Linked DNA regions of Drosophila melanogaster. The gene in region 4 interacts genetically with the main gene of each other region. Each region holds a gene or a part of one and is shown on either strand. Other genes may lie near its edges. The genes, in order: dve, park, Pink1 and Trap1.

What was found.
Region 1: of Trap1 (region 4) and dve, changing one suppresses a phenotype caused by changing the other (phenotypic suppression), as found in Drosophila melanogaster (one study listed by BioGRID).
Region 2: of Trap1 (region 4) and park, changing one suppresses a phenotype caused by changing the other (phenotypic suppression), as found in Drosophila melanogaster (one study listed by BioGRID).
Region 3: of Trap1 (region 4) and Pink1, changing one suppresses a phenotype caused by changing the other (phenotypic suppression), as found in Drosophila melanogaster (2 studies listed by BioGRID).

Annotation. Positions count from the first base shown.
Region 1 is NT_033778.4:22,242,292-22,246,971, forward strand, and holds the start of dve (defective proventriculus), read left to right. Parts: upstream 1-1,671; 5' UTR 1,672-2,390; coding exon 2,391-2,456; intron 2,457-4,680.
Region 2 is NT_037436.4:21,194,212-21,198,721, reverse strand, and holds park (parkin), read left to right. Parts: upstream 1-1,868; 5' UTR 1,869-1,946; intron 1,947-1,952; exon of another isoform or gene 1,953-2,009; 5' UTR 2,010-2,019; coding exon 2,020-2,277; intron 2,278-2,336; coding exon 2,337-2,529; intron 2,530-2,585; exon of another isoform or gene 2,586-2,604; coding exon 2,605-2,950; intron 2,951-3,075; exon of another isoform or gene 3,076-3,091; coding exon 3,092-3,536; exon of another isoform or gene 3,537-3,591; coding exon 3,592-3,688; exon of another isoform or gene 3,689-3,765; coding exon 3,766-3,875; 3' UTR 3,876-3,968; downstream 3,969-4,510. Other genes in the region: Targ2 (terminal ADP-ribose protein glycohydrolase 2), read left to right, coding at 1-263; Targ1 (terminal ADP-ribose protein glycohydrolase 1), read left to right, coding at 597-962, 1,085-1,173, 1,232-1,262; Targ3 (terminal ADP-ribose protein glycohydrolase 3), read right to left, coding at 1,268-1,417, 1,477-1,651, 1,705-1,826. UniProt on the Drosophila melanogaster protein: E3 ubiquitin-protein ligase which accepts ubiquitin from E2 ubiquitin-conjugating enzymes in the form of a thioester and then directly transfers the ubiquitin to targeted substrates, such as Paris, Marf, Opa1, Miro, pnut, Septin1, Tom20 and porin.
Region 3 is NC_004354.4:6,682,017-6,687,830, forward strand, and holds Pink1 (PTEN-induced putative kinase 1), read left to right. Parts: upstream 1-1,824; 5' UTR 1,825-2,054; exon of another isoform or gene 2,055-2,111; 5' UTR 2,112-2,445; intron 2,446-2,501; 5' UTR 2,502-2,540; coding exon 2,541-2,705; intron 2,706-2,769; coding exon 2,770-3,555; intron 3,556-3,618; coding exon 3,619-4,632; intron 4,633-4,696; coding exon 4,697-4,897; 3' UTR 4,898-5,022; downstream 5,023-5,814. Other genes in the region: Fum2 (fumarase 2), read left to right, coding at 1-118, 203-406, 490-1,294, 1,355-1,614; CG44303 (uncharacterized protein), read right to left, coding at 5,023-5,286, 5,347-5,349; CG3184 (uncharacterized protein), read right to left, coding at 5,654-5,814.
Region 4 is NT_033778.4:6,633,134-6,638,013, reverse strand, and holds Trap1 (Trap1), read left to right. Parts: upstream 1-1,751; 5' UTR 1,752-2,026; coding exon 2,027-2,159; intron 2,160-2,235; coding exon 2,236-4,003; intron 4,004-4,065; coding exon 4,066-4,240; 3' UTR 4,241-4,367; downstream 4,368-4,880. Other genes in the region: Bap170 (brahma associated protein 170kD), read right to left, coding at 4-1,019, 1,084-1,325.

The DNA.
Region 1 (4,680 bases), about 16 Mb from region 4:
CCAAGAGGGAGAAAGGGAGAGCTTGCGCATTCAGGAACTGGATGAAAACTGAGGATATCGTGGGATAAACATATCCAGATCAAGGATTTTTATGTATTTTTATGTTTTGGTATATAGCAGTTATTTAATTTGTATAAATAATTATAGTTGTTTTTTAGAAACTATAAGAGAAAAAGAGGCAGTCTTTTTTCGGTTGAGTTTTCTGAAAACGGATATGAAATCCTGTACTAATTACCAAGCCCACTGTAACTCCACCCTATTTCCATCTTTTTCTCGGCGCAGTGTTTCTCCTACTAGTGCTGCTACATAGAAATCCTATTTACCATATACTTGGACGCGGTTGGCTAAATCCTGCAGCCCGGACACCTAATCACATGTAATGCGCGCGCATTATCTGCGCTCTTATCTCTTATTTTCCGGGGGCACCACCCATCCCGCCCCTCGGCGAAATCCACTTCGTGCCGTGAACTCACGAATCCTCAACGAAGGCCGTCGCCATTCACGGAGGTGCTAAATGCCGAGTGGGTGTAGCCCCCCGACCACCCACCGCCCATCGAGAGGAATAAGCAATGCCGATTTACTCTTTCATCCCGAATGCCCGAACCTATTGCCGCACTGCTCGCACCCGCACCGTCGTAGTTCACGCCCACGCCCACTCTACACGGTGTAGGGATATGTGGCTGTGTGTGTGCGGCATAATTCCACCCGAATTTGCAGCAAATCCATTCAGTTTCGCCACAGCGCACAAAAAATAAAAGAAAACGCGCAGCCGAATGAGCAAGTGTTTGTCGGGGGAGGGGGTTTTAGGCGGGTTGGGCGAAGGCTGCGGCGACGACAAGTGCAATTGTGCGCCGGAACAGGTTTACCCACTGTTCCTGTGTGTGTGTGAGAGAAAGTCGCTCTCTGCATAGCTACTCTCTTTTCTCTCTCTGTCCCTGTGCGTGTGCTTTGTTTTGGTCACTCACTGACGCACACACGCAGAGCTGTTTGTTTGCCTCGCTAACCAGAACGAAATTTCGCAGTATTTCTACTACGCTTTGGCATCATTTCAATATTTTAACAAGATGATACTGTGGGAAAGTGTTGGTAAGCAAAAATTCTTATCAGTTCTAAAGAAATTTACATTTTGAAGAAAATAACGTGACATATAAAGTAAATTTAGCTTTCTAAAATTTGGTGGTCTTTTTAACATTTTTTATTTTTAATTTACTAAGAAAAGCGCCACTTGTTCTTATTCTAAGCAAAGTGGGTTACTCTTATAACAAATATAAAATTTACAGCATTTATATTTTTCCTTTCGTTATATTTAATATAATAAATATATTGATTTTAATCTAATCCTTTTAATTAGAGCCCCATTCATAAGAGCTCAGCTAACTCATAGTTTTACTACCTTTTCAGAGCCTACTACTTTTTGTTACGTTCTCTCTCCCCACTCACACAAATACAAATACAAGTGGGAGAGCGCGGTCGTTGTCTCTTTGACTCACACACCAGTACACATGGACTGGCGGCAAATGGAGCCGCGTGAGAGGACCACGGTTGAAAGGGGGGTGGGTGCTGGCTGGGGGAGGGCGAGAACGAGACCGAAGACCGTCGGCCGAAAGAGACCGAATGCCAAACACCGAGCACCGGCACACCGGCGAATGTGCGAAGGCGAAGGAATGCCGTCAGTTGTGCGACAACTTTGGCCAAGAGAGGATGTCTTGACGCGCGTCCGCTTACTAACACCCTGCGATACCCTGCGAAGAGAGTCCAGAGAGCCAGATCAGTCAGTCAGGAGCAGGAGCCCAAGGATTCGGCACGCCATCTGCCGGAGAAACCAGACAGGCGGACAGCCAGACAGCCTGAACGCCTCAACCTCAACGGTTGGCTGGATTTGCGATTGTCGCATTCGCCAAATTCGATACGCTGCCAATCCTGGTGACGCAGTGACGCGATCAGCTCCCGATTTCATGGCACTAATGATGTCGCGTCGCCCCCAACAGCAACAACAACAGCAAGAAGAGCCCCTGGAGCAATTGGAAGTGCAGCATCTGGAACTAGAGTCATCGAATCCGTTCCACGAAGGAAACGCGCGTTTCACCTGAGCGTGTGTGCGGTTGCGCGCGTGTGTGTGCCTGTGTCTAATTTGCGTATCCGCGCTACTCAAATAAGAAATAAATAGAAAAATCACATCAAATTAAATCAAATCAAATCGAATCAAGAAATACACCTTCCCCCGATCGAATTCGAAATCGAGCTCCCCTTATCGCGGTGACAAATTGCAATCAAACAAAAATCACAGCGAACCATCCAAATTGCAATTAATGCCAAAGCGCCTGCATCTGGCCATAAATAAAATACGTGAACTGCAGACTCAGTGATTAGAACTTTGAATCGCCAGCGAGATGGACTTCCAGAGCGCCATGGAAACCTTTGCCGAAGCCTGGGTGGCAGCCAATGCCGGTCAGCAGGTGAGTTGAGCCTTCAAATTTGCAGAGATATCATCCGCATCACGAAGATTTCGTCATACGGAGAAATTTCATCATCGCACGGCGAGATCGCTTTGCCGGCGGCACTTCACACAGCCATTAGTCAGATACCCTGGCTATCCCCCACTTTTACAGCCCTCCCATTGCCAAATGAATCAGTTGAGTGCAAACAAAATCGGCCAAACGACATATGGCCAAGCTGTAGTGATAAGGGCCGTGTAGATATGCGCTCGTTTCGCTATTTATGCAGATTAAGATAATCCTTATCGGCTGAGATTTTCGAGATCGGTGCTGCGATAAGTCCGCCAGCACCCCGCACCCAACTGTTTACCTTTCCCCGTTCGGTGTGCCCACTAATTGCATTGTAAAGCCGATCCCCAAAGGGGAAAACTGGGAACTGGGGCTAAGTTCCGAGTTCTGGGTTCTCCGCCAGAGCTTTTGCCAGCCAGATAAGATAATCCCGACGGTAATTTTGTCAAACGCTGGTAAATTCGGCATAAGGCGATGACGAACTTAGATATCGAATGTGGCTAACGGGGTGGGGATACTGGCGGTGGGGAGCGTTAGCGCCCCCAGCTCATAGAGTGCATGTCGCGTCATCTCTGTGCGCGCCGCTCTTATTTTTATCAGAATCGAACGCCCCTGTCACTGATATCGCAATTAATCCAAATAAGTGCGATAAAATTGATTATGAACATGCTGGCGTGATTAGTCCAGCCCAACTCCCTCTCTGGAAAAAGTGGGGGATCACTCATACACATGTCCAGATATCTGGGTGTGTGCCTGCATGTGTGTGTGTGGTTTATTAGCAGACATAATTGATTATGTTGTGTGAGTGTAATTATTATTTATCTGGCTCTGCGGTATGACTTCTGCCTTTGGCGCTCAACCCATTGGAATCGGTTACCCAAACGCCGAAAACGGGGGGTGACTAATCCAAGAATTTATGAATTTTATTTCCAATCGGTTTCGAAAACATCTCTATGTTGTATATTTAAAAAATCCCAATCTCGCGAGGGACCCACCGTCATTGTCTTTAAGCCGAAATCATGCCACAAGAGTTATTGTACTGGCCAAATCTGTGATGGCTTCGAAAACAAACAGCTTAGAGTTATTTCGTATACCCTAGCCATTGGGAATACTTACATTTTTTTAAGAGATCGATTGAGATTACCATATTTGTAGAACCTAGCAGTGCTTCCAGCAATTTAAATAGGTCCACAGGGATTGTTTTTTGTTCTATGTACGTCCACGTGGCAATGGTAATTGCAAAATCTTTGCATGTTTCCGATAAATGTAACTTCCTCTAAGTTTGCTACGACGAATGTGATGATGCAATAGTTTTGAAAAATTTTATATCGATTAGATCAGAATCGATCTAGGCTAGAGCATTCGAAACTTCGGCTTTAGAACCATTCGTTTTCTTTTTTATTTTTTGACAGTTTTATGTGTCGACGCATATGCTTAGTGAATGGGATTAAGATAAGACGGCGTAAGTTGCTCGAGAGTCAGATAATAAACCAGAATGGTCAGAAGGGGCATAAATAAATGTGAATTCTTTCAAAACTATGGCAAATCATATTGTGCGAGTGTGAGTCGAATTTTTTGTTGGCCCGGCCAAACTAATTATAAAGCATTTAGCTTTATTGTTGTGATAATTTCATTTCGGGGTTTTTCTAAGGGCGTAATATCGAAATCGAACGCGGCCAACAGATAATGCCGTCTCTTCACACCCGGTTAGATCACCTGGCCGCCTTTTGAGCAGCCAGATAGGCCGTCTTATAAATTATAAATGGTTCGATTTTGTCTAATCTGAAAGTGTTAGTCGTTTGTGAATGGGGGATGGGCGGGGACAGCCTTAGGAGTCAGATAATGGAATATTTATTAATTGAAATCTTCTTCGCCGCTGCTTCCTGCTCACCGTGCTCGTGATCATCGAATAGTCGTTTCATTACCTCTGCCTCGTTTTCCCCAGCGATCTCTCGCACCAAGACTAATGGTAATCGGGGTTAATCCGGCCGCGCATCGAATCGCAGCTCCAATCAAATGCATTCTTCGCCCTTTCTTCTGGCCCTGCCCGTCTGCCCCTCTGTCGGCTTCCCCGTCTGCCTTCCCACGTTTTCGGTTTCGTTAAATTCCGGTAGTCAAATGTCCATTAAATGCCGCTCATAAATGTCCAAACTGTTTGTCATCTTTGTGGCCCTGT
Region 2 (4,510 bases), on a different chromosome or scaffold from region 4:
ACGGAGTGACCAAGTTGGCCATTCCCAGACTTGGATGCGGCATCGACCGTTTGGATTGGTTGCGCGTGCGGAGTCTGCTGGATCTGGTTTTCGCCGAGGATAGCGTGGACATAATTGCATTCTTCTACACACCGCCACAAATGGTTAAGGACACGTTGAACGTGGTTTGTCCCACCTGCCGGCACATGAAGACCATCCATTTGCCATCGAGGTCCGTTAGTGGATCAAGAAATTCGCTTCATCGCGAAAAGACTCCCTTTTAATGTATATAGCCATCTTTGTTTGACACTCGAAATGGTTTTGCTTGGGACTTGTGGCATCATATGCACCAAATACTTATATAGTTGATAAGAACGATACACCTAAGAGGTTTTTATAGCACACAAAGTTTCCATATTTGGTTATTTATACTGTATTTAATGTATTAATAAATAAAACACGTCCTCGAGAGGATATTAACCAAAGATTGGAGTTTTGATAAATACATATATATACCCTTACGAACCATTATCTAGTGTTATCGTATGACCAAAAATTAATCTAGTAGCTGCCTGTTACACTAAGTCAGACAGATCTAAAACCCTTATTTAAACTAAATGTATTCTCCCAAACTTCTAGAACTACGTAGCGCATTTCGGCGAGCTTTTGTAGTCGGAATGTCATCCAAACCTCAGTACACCCTAAGCGAAGTGGATGGGGATCTGTTTTCCGCCCCCAAGACCTATTCCTTGGCGCACTGTGTGGGCGCAGATCTTGCGATGGGTGCTGGAATTGCCGTGCAGTTCAAGAAGGTATTCGGAAGGTTGGACGAGCTGCAAGCCCAACAAGCGGGCAGTGGAGATATTGCGGTGCTGAAGGATGACCAGCGGTACATTTACTACCTAGTAACCAAGCCTCAGAGCTGGGGAAAGCCCACCTACGAATCTGTACAAGCATCTTTGGAGCAGATGCGTGAGCATATGGTAAATACATGCCTGATACATATCTTTTATGAATGGAATGTATCCCTGCTTTTATTTATTATATATATAAAGCTTAGACAAGTTATATTAATAAGAGCTACATTTTATTATTCCTACATTAGCGCAAAAACAACGTGAATAAGCTGGCCATCCCAAAAATTGGCTGCGGAATTGATGGCTTGGAATGGGAAAAAGTCAGCGGAGTCCTCGAGTACGTTTTTGGCCAAGAGCCGCTGGAGATTGTTGTCTACAATTTTGTGCCTCCACAGGGAAAATAATGGATCGTTTAGTTTAATATGAGCCATTTACTTCATAGCAACATAATTATAAACGACCAGCTCAACAGAATCCGCTTGAAAAACCTGGCAAATTATTTCCTTAACTTTGGGCCAGTTTAGGCCATCCAAACCGCATCCAATGCGGGGCATGGCTAGCTTGGGTACTTGGTGGGAGATCTGCAAATGGTAGAAAGATTCGTATATCATAACTTCTTATAGAAGATACATAAACATACCATGTGTTTTCGCATGGCGATCAAGGAACTCTGGAGAAGTTCGTAGGTGGGCTTTCCCCAGCTGGATTTCTTGGTGATCAGATAGTAAATAAATCGCTGCTGGTCCTGAAGGACAGCCACGCCGCCTGGCTGAACATTTTGTCTCTGCAAATTCAACAACTGTCCAAATTTGTTTCTGGAAAATAGGCAAATTTACCATTTTATTAAAAACACTAAGCCATTACCTACCGAAACTTTACAGCTATGCCTCTGCCCATTCGCAAATCGGCAGCCACGCAGTGGCACATGGAATAATCCCTTTGGCATTTGAATAGGTCGCCATTGATCTCTCTGTAAGTTAGTCCTGACATTTCCATAAAACTTTTACATTTATACTCCTCCGACTTCTTCACAAAAATTGTTTTCAATTGTGCGCTTTCTGCGTGTCCACGTTTTCCTCCGAATGGCTGCCAGCTGGTGTTTGGCAACGCGTAAGTAAACAACGATTGGCAACACTGAAGCATATACACTGCACTAAAATTAAACCCGATCAGCTGATAACAAATGAGTTTTATTTTTAAATTTATTGCCACTTTTGTACGCAAAATGCTGGAGCTGTTGCAATTTGGAGGGAAAACCCTTACGCACACGCTGAGTATTTATGTAAAAACGAACACGGGCAAAACGCTGACCGTTAATCTGGAGCCCCAGTGGGATATTAAAAACGTAAAGGAACTGGTGGCACCACAATTGGGACTTCAGCCGGATGATCTAAAGATCATATTTGCCGGTAAGGAACTAAGCGATGCCACGACAATAGAGGTAAGAAGTTTCTTTAATGTATCCGCTACATGAAGTTAACTTTTACTGTCTTCTAGTAGCAATGTGACTTGGGTCAGCAAAGCGTTTTGCATGCCATTCGTTTGCGACCGCCCGTGCAGCGCCAGAAAATCCAGTCGGCCACTTTGGAGGAGGAGGAACCTTCGCTTAGCGATGAAGCCTCCAAGCCTCTAAATGAAACTCTGTTGGACTTGCAGCTGGAAAGCGAGGAGCGTCTGAATATAACCGATGAAGGTAGGCAACAATTAGTTTTTATTGTTTTTTTTTTTTTTAACGAAACCCCTTGTAATCCCGTCGTATCCTCTCCAGAAAGAGTCCGTGCCAAAGCGCATTTCTTTGTACATTGCAGCCAATGCGATAAGCTGTGTAATGGCAAACTTCGGGTCCGCTGCGCTTTATGCAAGGGCGGCGCCTTTACTGTCCATCGTGATCCGGAGTGTTGGGATGATGTCTTGAAGTCGCGTAGAATTCCCGGTCATTGTGAAAGTCTGGAGGTGGCCTGCGTGGACAACGCGGCTGGCGATCCGCCCTTCGCTGAATTCTTCTTCAAGTGTGCTGAGCATGTCTCCGGCGGGGAGAAGGATTTTGCGGCTCCATTGAATCTAATCAAGAATAACATCAAGAATGTTCCTTGCCTGGCCTGCACGGATGTGAGGTGATTATGCAATAAGGAACATCTTAATTTCTTATAATTTTCATATCATCGAAAATGTCATAAAAAGTTCTTTTAAAGTCTTTAAAGTAATTATTTGTCATATAATTTTATTCTGCTATAATCACCTTATTATGTTCGCAGTGATACCGTGTTGGTTTTCCCCTGCGCATCGCAGCACGTCACCTGTATCGACTGCTTCCGCCATTATTGCCGTTCCCGTTTGGGCGAGCGTCAGTTTATGCCGCATCCGGACTTCGGCTACACCTTGCCCTGTCCCGCAGGCTGCGAGCACTCGTTCATCGAGGAGATTCATCACTTCAAGCTGTTGACACGCGAGGAGTACGATCGGTACCAGAGATTCGCCACCGAGGAGTATGTCCTACAGGCAGGTGGAGTACTCTGCCCCCAGCCAGGATGCGGCATGGGCCTTTTGGTGGAGCCCGATTGTCGCAAGGTGACATGCCAGAACGGCTGTGGATACGTGTTCTGCCGCAATTGTCTGCAGGGCTACCATATCGGGGAGTGTCTGCCCGAGGGGACGGGCGCCAGTGCCACAAACTCCTGCGAGTACACCGTGGACCCAAATGTGAGTTGGCTCTTATACGGCCCATTCCCGCTTGTGTAATCATGTGCTTTTTTAGCGAGCTGCCGAGGCGCGATGGGATGAGGCCAGCAATGTCACCATCAAAGTCAGCACAAAGCCCTGTCCAAAATGCAGAACCCCCACGGAGCGAGATGGTGAGTTGGGCGAGCATCGAAGACACCCAAGACGCAGTTTGTAACACATCCATACCGTCTTCTTCTCTTCCTACCAGGCGGTTGCATGCACATGGTCTGCACACGCGCTGGCTGCGGATTCGAGTGGTGCTGGGTCTGCCAGACTGAGTGGACACGCGACTGCATGGGAGCCCACTGGTTCGGCTAATCCTTCGTCATCGTTGTACGTCGGCCCGACGGGTCCTTTTTGTTTGTTGACTACTTTTAAATTGTATACCATAGTAAAGACTGCTCGAACAACACCCTGTTTGTCGTCTACGCAATCAATAGCAGAAACACCCCTGACAAGGACCAACGCGAATCACATCCTACCCCACTCTGTTCCTTTGTTGCGTGCGCACAAAAACTTTGTTTACGTTTTTTTTTAAGCTCGCCCACAAATATTTTGAGGGCTTTCCTCTTCGGCCAGGCATGCGAAAACCGCAACAAACACGTGCATTTGGCCAAACAGCCAGAGAGCGAGTGCCGCGAATGCGCAGTGGGTGGTCAGCGGCACAAGGTTCATGTGATTTCAACCCAGGCGCGTAGCCGCAAGGGGACTAATAATTGATTGGGGGATGGTAAAGGCATTTCAAAAATGTTCCTGGATTTTCAAAAGTACTAACTACTATTCTTGCTAAAGAGAGAAAACACAAAAGAGAAAATTATTAAGAAACTGAAACTTAAATTTTGGCCGTTAATACGTAAAATTAAATATTTCACTTTAATACAGTTTTATAATTCATATGTGCAACCGCCCTAGGACACATCTGTAAATCAATAGATTTTAGGCAATTATATATA
Region 3 (5,814 bases), on a different chromosome or scaffold from region 4:
TCGTACGGAGAAGGACACCTTCGGGGAGCTAAAGGTGCCGGCGGACAAGCTGTACGGCGCACAGACGATGCGCTCCAAATTGAATTTTCCCATTGGCGACATAGGCGAACGTATGCCGGTAGGCAACCAACCAACCAACCAACATATTCTGGCATCTACCAAGTGCTTTGCCATAGCCAATTAATCCCCAAACTGCCCGCAGATGCCGGTGATCCAGGCCATGGGCATACTGAAGAAGGCATGTGCCGAGGTCAACAAGGATTACGGACTAGATGGCAAGGTGTCGGATGCCGTATCCTGCGCCTGCGACGATGTCATTTCCGGCAAGCTATACAAACAGGGTCACTTCCCATTGGTCATCTGGCAAACCGGTTCGGGCACCCAGACCAATATGAACACCAACGAGGTAAGATTGTTAGATAGGGCTAACGAGAGAAATGTGTATAGCTGGATGCTTCTCCTGCCCCATGCCATTGGCAAACCTACTAGGTGATCAGCAATGCGGCCATTAAGATGATGGGCGGCGAACTGGGCAGCAAGAAGCCGGTGCATCCCAACGATCATGTGAACAAGTCGCAGAGCTCCAACGACACCTTCCCCACGGCCATTCACATTTCGGTGGGCATGGAGCTGAACGAGCGGCTTGTTCCGGCGGTTACACACTTGAGGGATGCCCTCAAGTCCAAGTCGGATGAGTTCAAGGACATCATCAAGATCGGACGCACCCACTTGATGGACGCAGTTCCGCTGACTTTGGGCCAGGAATTCAGCGGTTATACACAGCAGTTGACCAACGGTCTGGAAAGGATCAAGGGCTGTCTGCCGCGCGTCTATGAGCTGGCTCTGGGCGGCACTGCTGTGGGTACGGGTCTGAACACACGCAAGGGATTCGCCGAGAAGGTGGCCAAGCGCATTTCGGAGCTAACCTGCTTGCCCTTCGTGTCGGCGCCCAACAAGTTCGAGGCACTGGCTGCCCGCGATGCCATGGTGGAGGTGCATGGTGTGCTCAACACGATCGCCGTCAGCCTGATGAAGATCGCCAACGATATCCGATTGCTGGGATCGGGTCCGCGTTGCGGTCTGGGCGAACTAATGCTGCCGGAGAACGAGCCCGGTAGCTCCATCATGCCCGGCAAGGTGAATCCCACGCAATGCGAATCAATGACCATGCTGTGTGCCCAGGTGATGGGCAATCAGGTGGCGGTGACCATCGGCGGCTCCAACGGGCACTTCGAGCTAAATGTATTCAAACCCCTGGTCGTGTCCAATGTGCTGCGCTCCATTCGCTTGTTGGGTGAGTCGGAAATGTGTTTTCCAAGTGGAAAAACATGCATACATAACCTTCTCCTCCCAGCTGATGGCAGCATGACCTTCAGCAAGAACTGCGTGGAGGGACTGCAGGCCAACAAGGAGAGGATCGACAAGATCATGAACGAGTCCTTGATGCTGGTGACCGCGCTGAATCCGCACATTGGCTATGACAAGGCCGCCCTGATCGCCAAGACGGCGCACAAGAATAAGACGACCTTGAAGGAGGAGGCACTGAAGACCGGAATTACCGAAGAGCAGTTCAAGGAGTGGGTCAATCCCAAGGAGATGCTGGGACCGAAGTGATTCGCTGTGCGGCTATTGACGATTTTGTTTTAGTTTCGTGTAATAAATTTTTGTGTGTAGCAGGATATTTCAATAGATTGTATTAATTTGTTGATTTTACGGCAGGTGAATAACGGTTTTTAGTTTTTGAATTCTCCAAATGATTCGAGTCCACACTACGCGATAGTCATTATCGATTCTAAAGATATACCGTAAGTGTGGTCACACTAACGCCTTGCTGTTTCTAAATTATTCCGTTGTTTTTATCGTAAATTCTTGCACACTTAGCTATTATTTTATAGCGAAATATAAGCAAAGCAAGCTTTTAAACAAGTGTTTATTGCGGCGCACATTTTCCGTGACAAATGAAAAGATCCAGCTGACCAGCGATTATCTAACGACCAAATCGAATCGAAACGAAACGTTGAAGTAGGCGCATTACATTAAAAATTGGCTGCCAGGCAAGTTGGAGGTCGTAAATTAATCGTTTTGTTCAGTTGAAAATAGCCCAAAATCAGTCTAGCCCACACAGATATCGAAAAAGGCGATATATCTTTGGATAATCATTGCAAAAATAAACCCTTTCGATTCGACGATTTCGCCTTGTAGTTCTGCCACCACCGCCCCCACACTTCGCCCCGCAGCTGCACCACAACCACCACCACCCACAAACAGAAAATTTATTTGCGACGCAAAAACAAAACAATCGAATCGAAACGAACCGAACCGAAACGAAACGACAGCAGCTGTTTGGTTATAAATCGGCGCTATCGATCGCACACATGAGCAAAATTGGCGGAGAAGAAGAGGAAGCAGCAGCAAGAGTTAAGCACCACAAATCTTAAAGAATAGGTAAAAATTAAAAATTAAATTAATAGATGACAGACCGTTTAAGGTGCTTCATTCAGTTGCAGGCACTAGGAGCCGAGGTCTTTGCGGGCCGAAAGATGTCTGTGAGACTGCTGACCGTGCGACTGATCAAACATGGTCGCTACATTTTGCGCAGCTATTGTAAACGTGATATACACGCCAACATTTTGGACCAGAATCAATTGAAGACAAGAAGCAAGCGAGGCTTTCCCCTACCCTCCACCGCTGCCAATGTGCTGCGGGTAAGTCAAGCTAAACGGATGATCAAGGCATGTCCAATTAACCCGCATCCAATCTCTTCGCCAGACAACGCCCCAGCAGGCGGCCAAATCGGTGGTCAATGTAGTGCCCCGCACCATCAACTCCCCGTCGGGATCACCGTTTAATGGCAGCGGCAGTAGCCCCACCAGCAGCAGTGGAATCTTCCGAGTGGGCCAGCATGCGCGCAAATTGTTCATCGACAACATCCTCAGCCGGGTGACCACCACCTACTCGGAGGATCTGCGCCAGCGCGCTACCCGCAAGCTATTCTTTGGCGATTCAGCGCCCTTCTTCGCCCTGATTGGCGTTAGTCTGGCCTCCGGATCGGGTGTGCTCAGCAAGGAGGATGAACTGGAGGGCGTGTGCTGGGAGATTCGGGAGGCAGCTAGCCGGCTGCAGAACGCCTGGAATCACGACGAGATCTCCGATACGCTAGACAGCAAGTTCACCATCGATGACTTGGAAATCGGTCCGCCCATAGCCAAAGGTTGTGCCGCTGTCGTCTATGCAGCGGATTTCAAGAAAGATGTTGCCTCGGATGGTGCATCCCTGCATACCGATGCGCAGCCGCAGGCAACGCCAGCCTTTGCGCCGAATAGCTGGAGTACCCACGAGATGATGTCGCCGCTGCAGAACATGTCGCGCTTTGTTCACAACTTTGGCGGCTCTGTGGACAACGTCTTCCACTACAGCCAGCCATCTGCGGCCAGTGATTTCGTGGGCGCCCAGTCGAGGGAACAGGACCAGCGGCACCACGAGCAACAGCAGCATCAGAATCAGGAACAAGAGCAGCATCAGAACCAGGAGCCCAGCAGCAGTGCCTTCAATGTGGTAAATATGTAAGCTTAAATCTGCATGGCAACTTGCCATCACGCTCTTTGCTTTAACTTGCAGACTTCTCCAGCGAATTCAAACATCAACAGCTCTGTGGACAGTTATCCACTGGCACTCAAAATGATGTTCAACTACGACATCCAGAGCAACGCTCTGTCCATACTGCGTGCCATGTACAAGGAGACGGTACCGGCACGCCAGCGCGGCATGAATGAGGCCGCCGATGAGTGGGAACGTTTGCTGCAGAATCAAACTGTTCACCTGCCGCGGCATCCGAACATTGTCTGTATGTTTGGCTTCTTTTGCGACGAGGTGCGCAACTTTCCCGATGGCCATCTCCTGTATCCGGTGGCGCAGCCGCAACGCATCAATCCACAGGGCTATGGCCGCAATATGTCGCTGTATCTGCTGATGAAACGCTACGATCACAGTCTTCGCGGCCTGCTCGATAGCCAGGATCTGAGCACGCGCAATCGCATCCTGCTGCTGGCTCAAATGCTCGAGGCTGTCAACCATTTGAGCCGTCACGGCGTTGCCCATCGTGACCTAAAGTCTGATAATGTGCTAATCGAGCTGCAGGACGATGCGGCGCCGGTGCTAGTGCTCTCCGACTTTGGCTGTTGTCTGGCGGACAAGGTGCATGGCCTGCGCCTGCCGTACGTTTCGCACGACGTCGACAAGGGCGGCAATGCGGCGTTGATGGCGCCAGAGATCTTCAATACGATGCCCGGTCCGTTTGCCGTACTCAATTATGGCAAGGCCGATCTGTGGGCTTGCGGTGCCCTGGCTTACGAAATCTTTGGCAACCGCAATCCGTTCTATTCGAGCAGCGGTGGGATGGCGCGCGAACGCGGTGAGATGACGCTTTCGCTGAGGAACAGCGATTACCGACAGGACCAATTGCCGCCAATGAGCGATGCTTGCCCGCCGCTGCTGCAACAGCTGGTCTACAACATCCTCAATCCCAACCCGTCCAAGCGGGTCAGTCCGGATATTGCGGCAAATGTGGTGCAGCTGTTCCTCTGGGCCCCATCCAATTGGCTTAAGGCGGGCGGCATGCCCAACAGTCCGGAGGTGGGTCGCAGTGTTTGATACCACATCAGCATCCTTTTAAGCTAATTATGATTTTTTTTTACAGATCCTACAGTGGCTCCTTTCGCTGACCACTAAGATTATGTGCGAGGGTCGTCCACAGATGGGCGCCGGATTGATGCCAGTGGCCAGCTGTGGCAATAGGCGCGCCTATGTGGAGTACCTGCTCATATGCAGCTTTCTGGCACGCGCCCGGCTGCGTCGCATTCGCGGCGCCCTCAACTGGATCCAGAATGTGGTGGCGTAGGAGAAAAGCCTTCTACTTGTTACTCTGAGAAAATCAAATGGAAAAGCGTGTGATACCTATATTTTACATATGTATTTATAAATGAAATCAAAATTAACGCCAAAAGCACGCCTCCGGTACAATAATTATTGACCCTCCTGATCTTTCTGATTCTTCAGCTTCTGCATTTTCGCCACCAGCGCCTCCTGTTTGACCAAACTCCTGTCGAGCTTTTCCATCACCTGCCTGATCATAATTTGGAGTTCCGCAAGATGTTTCTCCCAGGCCACATTCTGCTCCTCCAGCTCGATAAGCTTATAGAGATTGGCCTCGTTTGAGTCTTCGATGTTGTCTATAGCCTGATCCAGGCTATCCTCGGCGTCCAACTTGTTTGGATTTTGTGGGGGATGCTGTGCGGAGTAGAATGAGGAGTTTATAAAGTTAGCAGGATCTCTACGTTTAGTACTTACCATAACTAAACAGTTCAAGTTCATTCACTTCTCTGAATTCGCAAACTTCGAATGAAAATGCGCTGACAGAACTTACGATAACCGCACCAGGGCTGAGCCGATTGCATGCGTTATCGATATCGCCTGCCAGGGATGTTGGCAGTTTAAAATTAGTTTTGGAAAACTTAGGATATCCCAAATGCCATGAACAATTCTGTTTTTTCCGCAAACTATTATACAAACTATAGATAGTTGAAAAACATAAGCCAGCAAATGTTTATTTTTCTTTTAGTTTTTAGTCACATAACATAATATACAGATATCGAATTCATTTGTTAATATCCACGCGACTCACACACAACGTGTGATCATAAAAGGAGCAAGTGGCCATGGTCAAGGACGCATCGTCCTTGTTTCTCCATGGTGCCCAATCGGCCCCGTAGCAGATGCTCTTATGCTCCTCATAGGCGCCCAGTAAACTCAGGCCAG
Region 4 (4,880 bases):
TACTCCATCGTACGTTTGCTCCCATGACCAAATATCGCCACAACGTGCGGTTGGAGGCCAAGAGTGCATGATTCTCCTGATGAAAGCTGAGTGTACGGACTAGCTGGACAATCTGAAGCACTCGCTGGCCCATGCGCTCATCAGTCCCGTTGCTCCGGCGCAGATTAAGGAAGTGCAACTCGTCGCAGGCCGCCAGCAGTTCACTTCGAGCGGCAGAGTTCTCACCGTCCTCCTTACTTATCAGACCGTTGTCCAGCCAGGCCTGCTCATCCGTGTAGAGCTCTAGGACCTGTGGCTTGTCGTGTAGCAGGTCGCGCCAGAAACTGAGCTGCGAATGGTGTCGAACCTCGGTGTAACTGTGCTGGAACAGCTGGCGCATGGTGAAGTCAGCGTAGACTCCCAGGTGAGCAAGCAGCACATCAAGCAGTTTGGGGCACTCGGACAGCTGTAGGGTGTGGCGCGCCTCGTTGGCCATAAGTGTGCACACGTTTATGGCGAAGTCCTGCTCATTGGGCAGCGGAGAAAGCAGAGACAACAGCAGCTTCTCGTAGCTGCTGTGTCGGTGCAACTGCGTGGACATCTTGTACTGTCGGCGTCGTTCCACATTAACAGAGTGCTGGCGCTGGTTGTAGGCCATTGGCACCGCCGGCAACGTAGAGTGTGCTGATCCAAAAATGCTTCCTAGGCCACCACCGGCGCCAGCCAAAAAACGAGATCGCGAGCGTCCACCGCCCATTTCTACAATCTCAATAGCCGCCTCCAGAGCCTCCATCTTGTCTGGATCCTCGCCAAAGAAGTTCAACCGTTCGTACTTGTCCAGGTAGCGTCTGTAGATGTGCTTGATACTAGCCGTTCCGTTAACGCAGCGCTCCCGCAATGTCTCCATGGCGCTGTACACCTCGTCCCACTCGTCCCGCATGGTCACCTTATTAAAGCCGCCTCGTTCGGTTACCTCGTTGTACAGCTTGTACAGGTCGACATGCTTACCGCTGATCCTGGCGGGCTGTGTCAATGGAGTGCTGTTTGGGCAGAGGGAAAGTGGGTTAGGTCGTCTCCAAATACAGGAGAGCCGCGGCAACTCACCCGCGTCGTTCGTGAAACTGCTGCAGGTCCCTCCAGAACTCCTCCGGAGGTGACGGCGGCATCTCCTCGACCTTCTCCGGCATGATCTGTAATTGGGCGGGATTCTTGGCGCGAAGGGGAGTCGCTGGGGCCGCAATCTTGCCCGGCGTCTGTAGATCGCCCGGCTGAGTGGCGCTGTTTACGGCGGCAGCAGGCAGCGACTGAAGCAGCACCCGTACGTTGTCGATGGTGGTGGCGCTCATGATTGGATCTTTTTGTGTGGTGGCGTGAATGGGAAACACTTAACACATGATATTCTAATAGTAAGACACGCAGATGCTAATTAAAATTATTTAAAAAACTCAACAAAAATTACAACGCGACGCTGACGCGCTACAGCAGAGTTGCATTCACGAGCAGGGCTGTCAGCAATTGGACCGTATATCGATATGAGGTATCGATGTCTTTCAATATTGGATTTGATTTAACTTTCTTTTATTTACTGTCTTCTTTGAAGACATTTGTTATTTCATAACTCAAAAATCAGCATCCAATCTACATTGGCTAAACAATGAAACGTAATCTGTTCTTAATTCCTTCAGAATTTACGGTTTGTTGTTCACAGTTGAAACATCTCTATCTCTCTCTCTCTCTCTTGCTGATCGAAATCTTTAGAGAACTAGTCAGCTGGCAGTTTGCTTCAGTTTTGAGCTGAATAATGTGATGAAACTGAACTCTCCATTACATGTAGTAACTCTTATTCAAACCAACTAAGCATTTGAGTCCAAAATTCATTACAGCCCAGAAATTTGGAAGAAAACACCGTTATGAGTAGGGTTTTACCAGTTTACTATTATCGAATACTTACAATCGATTGATTTGGCTACACTGTGCACACATGTGCGCTGGAACAAACTTCGTAGTTGGGTAACATTAAAGTTGGGCAAAACATTAAAACAACAAGATGTCTGTACGAGCGATGGGAGTGCTGGGCCAGGCGTGCCGCCTCGGTCGCTGTGCCCAAGTGTTGAGGCAGAGTCACCGATCCGCCCCAGCAGCGTTCAATATCACCATTGGATCGCAGCATTCGCCGGGTGGTAAGCACTGAATATAAGCAACCGGCTCCCCGGAGGGATTCTTATGTTTACATAACACTCATCTTTTCACTTGCAGCTCTCTCGCTCCGTCGCTACTCCACGGAGACCAAGCAGGCATCAGGATCAGTGGTGGACAAGCATGAGTTCCAGGCAGAGACGCGCCAGCTACTTGACATTGTGGCTCGTTCCTTATACTCCGACCACGAGGTCTTTGTGCGCGAGCTTATTTCGAATGCAAGCGATGCGCTGGAGAAATTTCGGTACACCTCGTTGAGCGCTGGAGGCGAGAATCTGGCTGGAAAGGACCGGCCTCTGGAGATTCGTATCACCACCGACAAGCCACTGATGCAGCTAATCATCCAGGACACGGGCATCGGCATGACCAAGGAGGAGCTGGTCAGCAACCTGGGCACCATTGCACGCAGCGGCTCGAAGAAGTTCCTGGAGCAGATGAAGGGGACCCAGCAGGGAGCCAGCTCGGAGGCATCCTCGAACATTATTGGTCAGTTCGGCGTGGGCTTTTACTCTTCCTTCATTGTCGCCAATAAGGTGGAGGTGTTCACGAGGGCGGCTGTGCCTAATGCACCCGGACTGCGTTGGTCCACGGATGGCAGTGGAACCTACGAGATCGAAGAGGTGCCTGACGTTGAGTTGGGAACGCGAATCGTGCTTCATTTAAAGACCGATTGCCGTGAATATGCGGACGAGGAGAGGATCAAGGCGGTAATCAAGAAATACAGCAACTTTGTGGGCTCACCCATCTTGCTTAACGGAAAGCAGGCCAATGAGATCAAGCCTCTGTGGCTTCTTGAGCCACAAAGCATCAGCAAGGAGCAGCACCATGACTTCTATCGGTTCATTAGCAATAGCTTCGATGTCCCGCGCTTCACCTTACACTATAATGCTGACGTACCCTTGAGCATCCATGCACTGCTCTACTTCCCCGAAGGAAAGCCTGGTTTATTCGAGATGTCTCGGGACGGAAACACCGGTGTGGCTCTTTACACCCGCAAGGTGCTTATTCAGTCCAAGACTGAGCATCTGCTGCCCAAGTGGCTGCGTTTTGTAAAGGGTGTTGTCGACTCTGAGGACATTCCACTCAACCTGAGTCGCGAGCTGCTCCAGAACAGCAGCCTGATTCGCAAACTGTCCAGTGTGATTTCCACCCGCGTTATCCGTTTCCTGCAAGAGCGGTCCAAGAAGCAGCCAGAAGAGTACGAGGCCTTCTACCGGGACTATGGGCTTTTCCTGAAGGAAGGAATTGTAACCTCCAGCGACGCCTCCGAGAAAGAAGAAATAGCTAAACTTCTGCGTTTTGAATCCTCCAAGTCGGAGACCGCCAGTGGGCGCATGTCGCTGGAGGAGTACTACAACGCCGTTCCCGCAGAACAGCAGAATATTTACTACTTGGCAGCACCCAACCGCGTTCTTGCCGAGTCCTCGCCCTACTACGAGAGTCTGAAGAAGCGCAACGAGCTGGTGCTCTTCTGCTACGAACCCTATGATGAGCTGGTGCTCATGCAGCTGGGCAAGTTCAAAAGCAAAAAACTCGTTTCCGTGGAGAAGGAGATGCGCGAAGAGTCCAAGGAGACAACAGCGACCACCGACTTTGGCGAGGGCAGTCTGCTGCGCTCAGAGCTCGACACTTTGATTCCCTGGCTGGAGGAGGAGCTCAGGGGGCAGGTTATTAAAGTAAAAGCCACCACTCGTCTAGACACCCATCCCTGTGTAATCACCGTAGAGGAAATGGCTGCCGCTCGCCACTTCATTCGCACCCAGAGTCACCAGGTGCCAGAACAGAATCGATTTGCCCTGCTTCAACCAGAACTGGAGATCAACCCAAAGTGAGTCCTGCTCCTCACGTTTCTTTCGTTGCTTTCTTATTTTGCATTTTTCCTTACCTTAGGCACCCCATCATCAAGAAGCTTAACAAGCTCCGTGAGAGCGACAAGGATCTGGCCCAACTTATCGCCAAGCAGCTCTTTGCAAACGCAATGGTGGGCGCCGGTTTGGCTGAGGATCCCCGCATGCTGCTAACCAACATGAACACTCTGCTATCGCGGGCCCTGGAGAAATACTAGAGTGCGCCGTAGAAGGAACAGTGTAGATATACCGACTATGTAATATTAATTTCTATAATTAATTTCATAAAACGTGTTGAAATAGTTTTAAATATGTATAATTAAACGTTTTAAATATTTTAATTCCAAAAATGAAGGGGAATATAATTTTTTCGGGCTTAATTTTAACTTTGTGTGCCTAGTGTGTGCACAATAATGGGGCTTACACTAGGCATTTTATACAAAGAGTTTTTGCATAAACGTATTCTTTGTTCAAAAGCTCCATAGAAACCAATATTTCTAAAAAAAAGTGTAAATAAAATATGAATTTGTTACATTATACGTACTATAAAAAACGTTTTGTAAGCTATTTTATAATAGCTAATACCGTTCTTGGGACCCATTTAGTTCGAGCAATTGAATTTTTCTATGGTACAAAAAGATGTTTTCCATACAAGTTCATGAACGAATTGACCAAGCTATCAGAAATATAAAATAAAATATTAATTTTGATGTGCTTATGTTCTTCAATTTCGTGCATCCTTTTAAAATCGGTGTGAAAGCAATGCTTTAATTGTATTGGCTCTAGTGGAAACATTGTTAGTGCATTTTGACGTCCATCAGGTGGCAGCGCTGGCACAACTATCGCCGAAAATCCGCC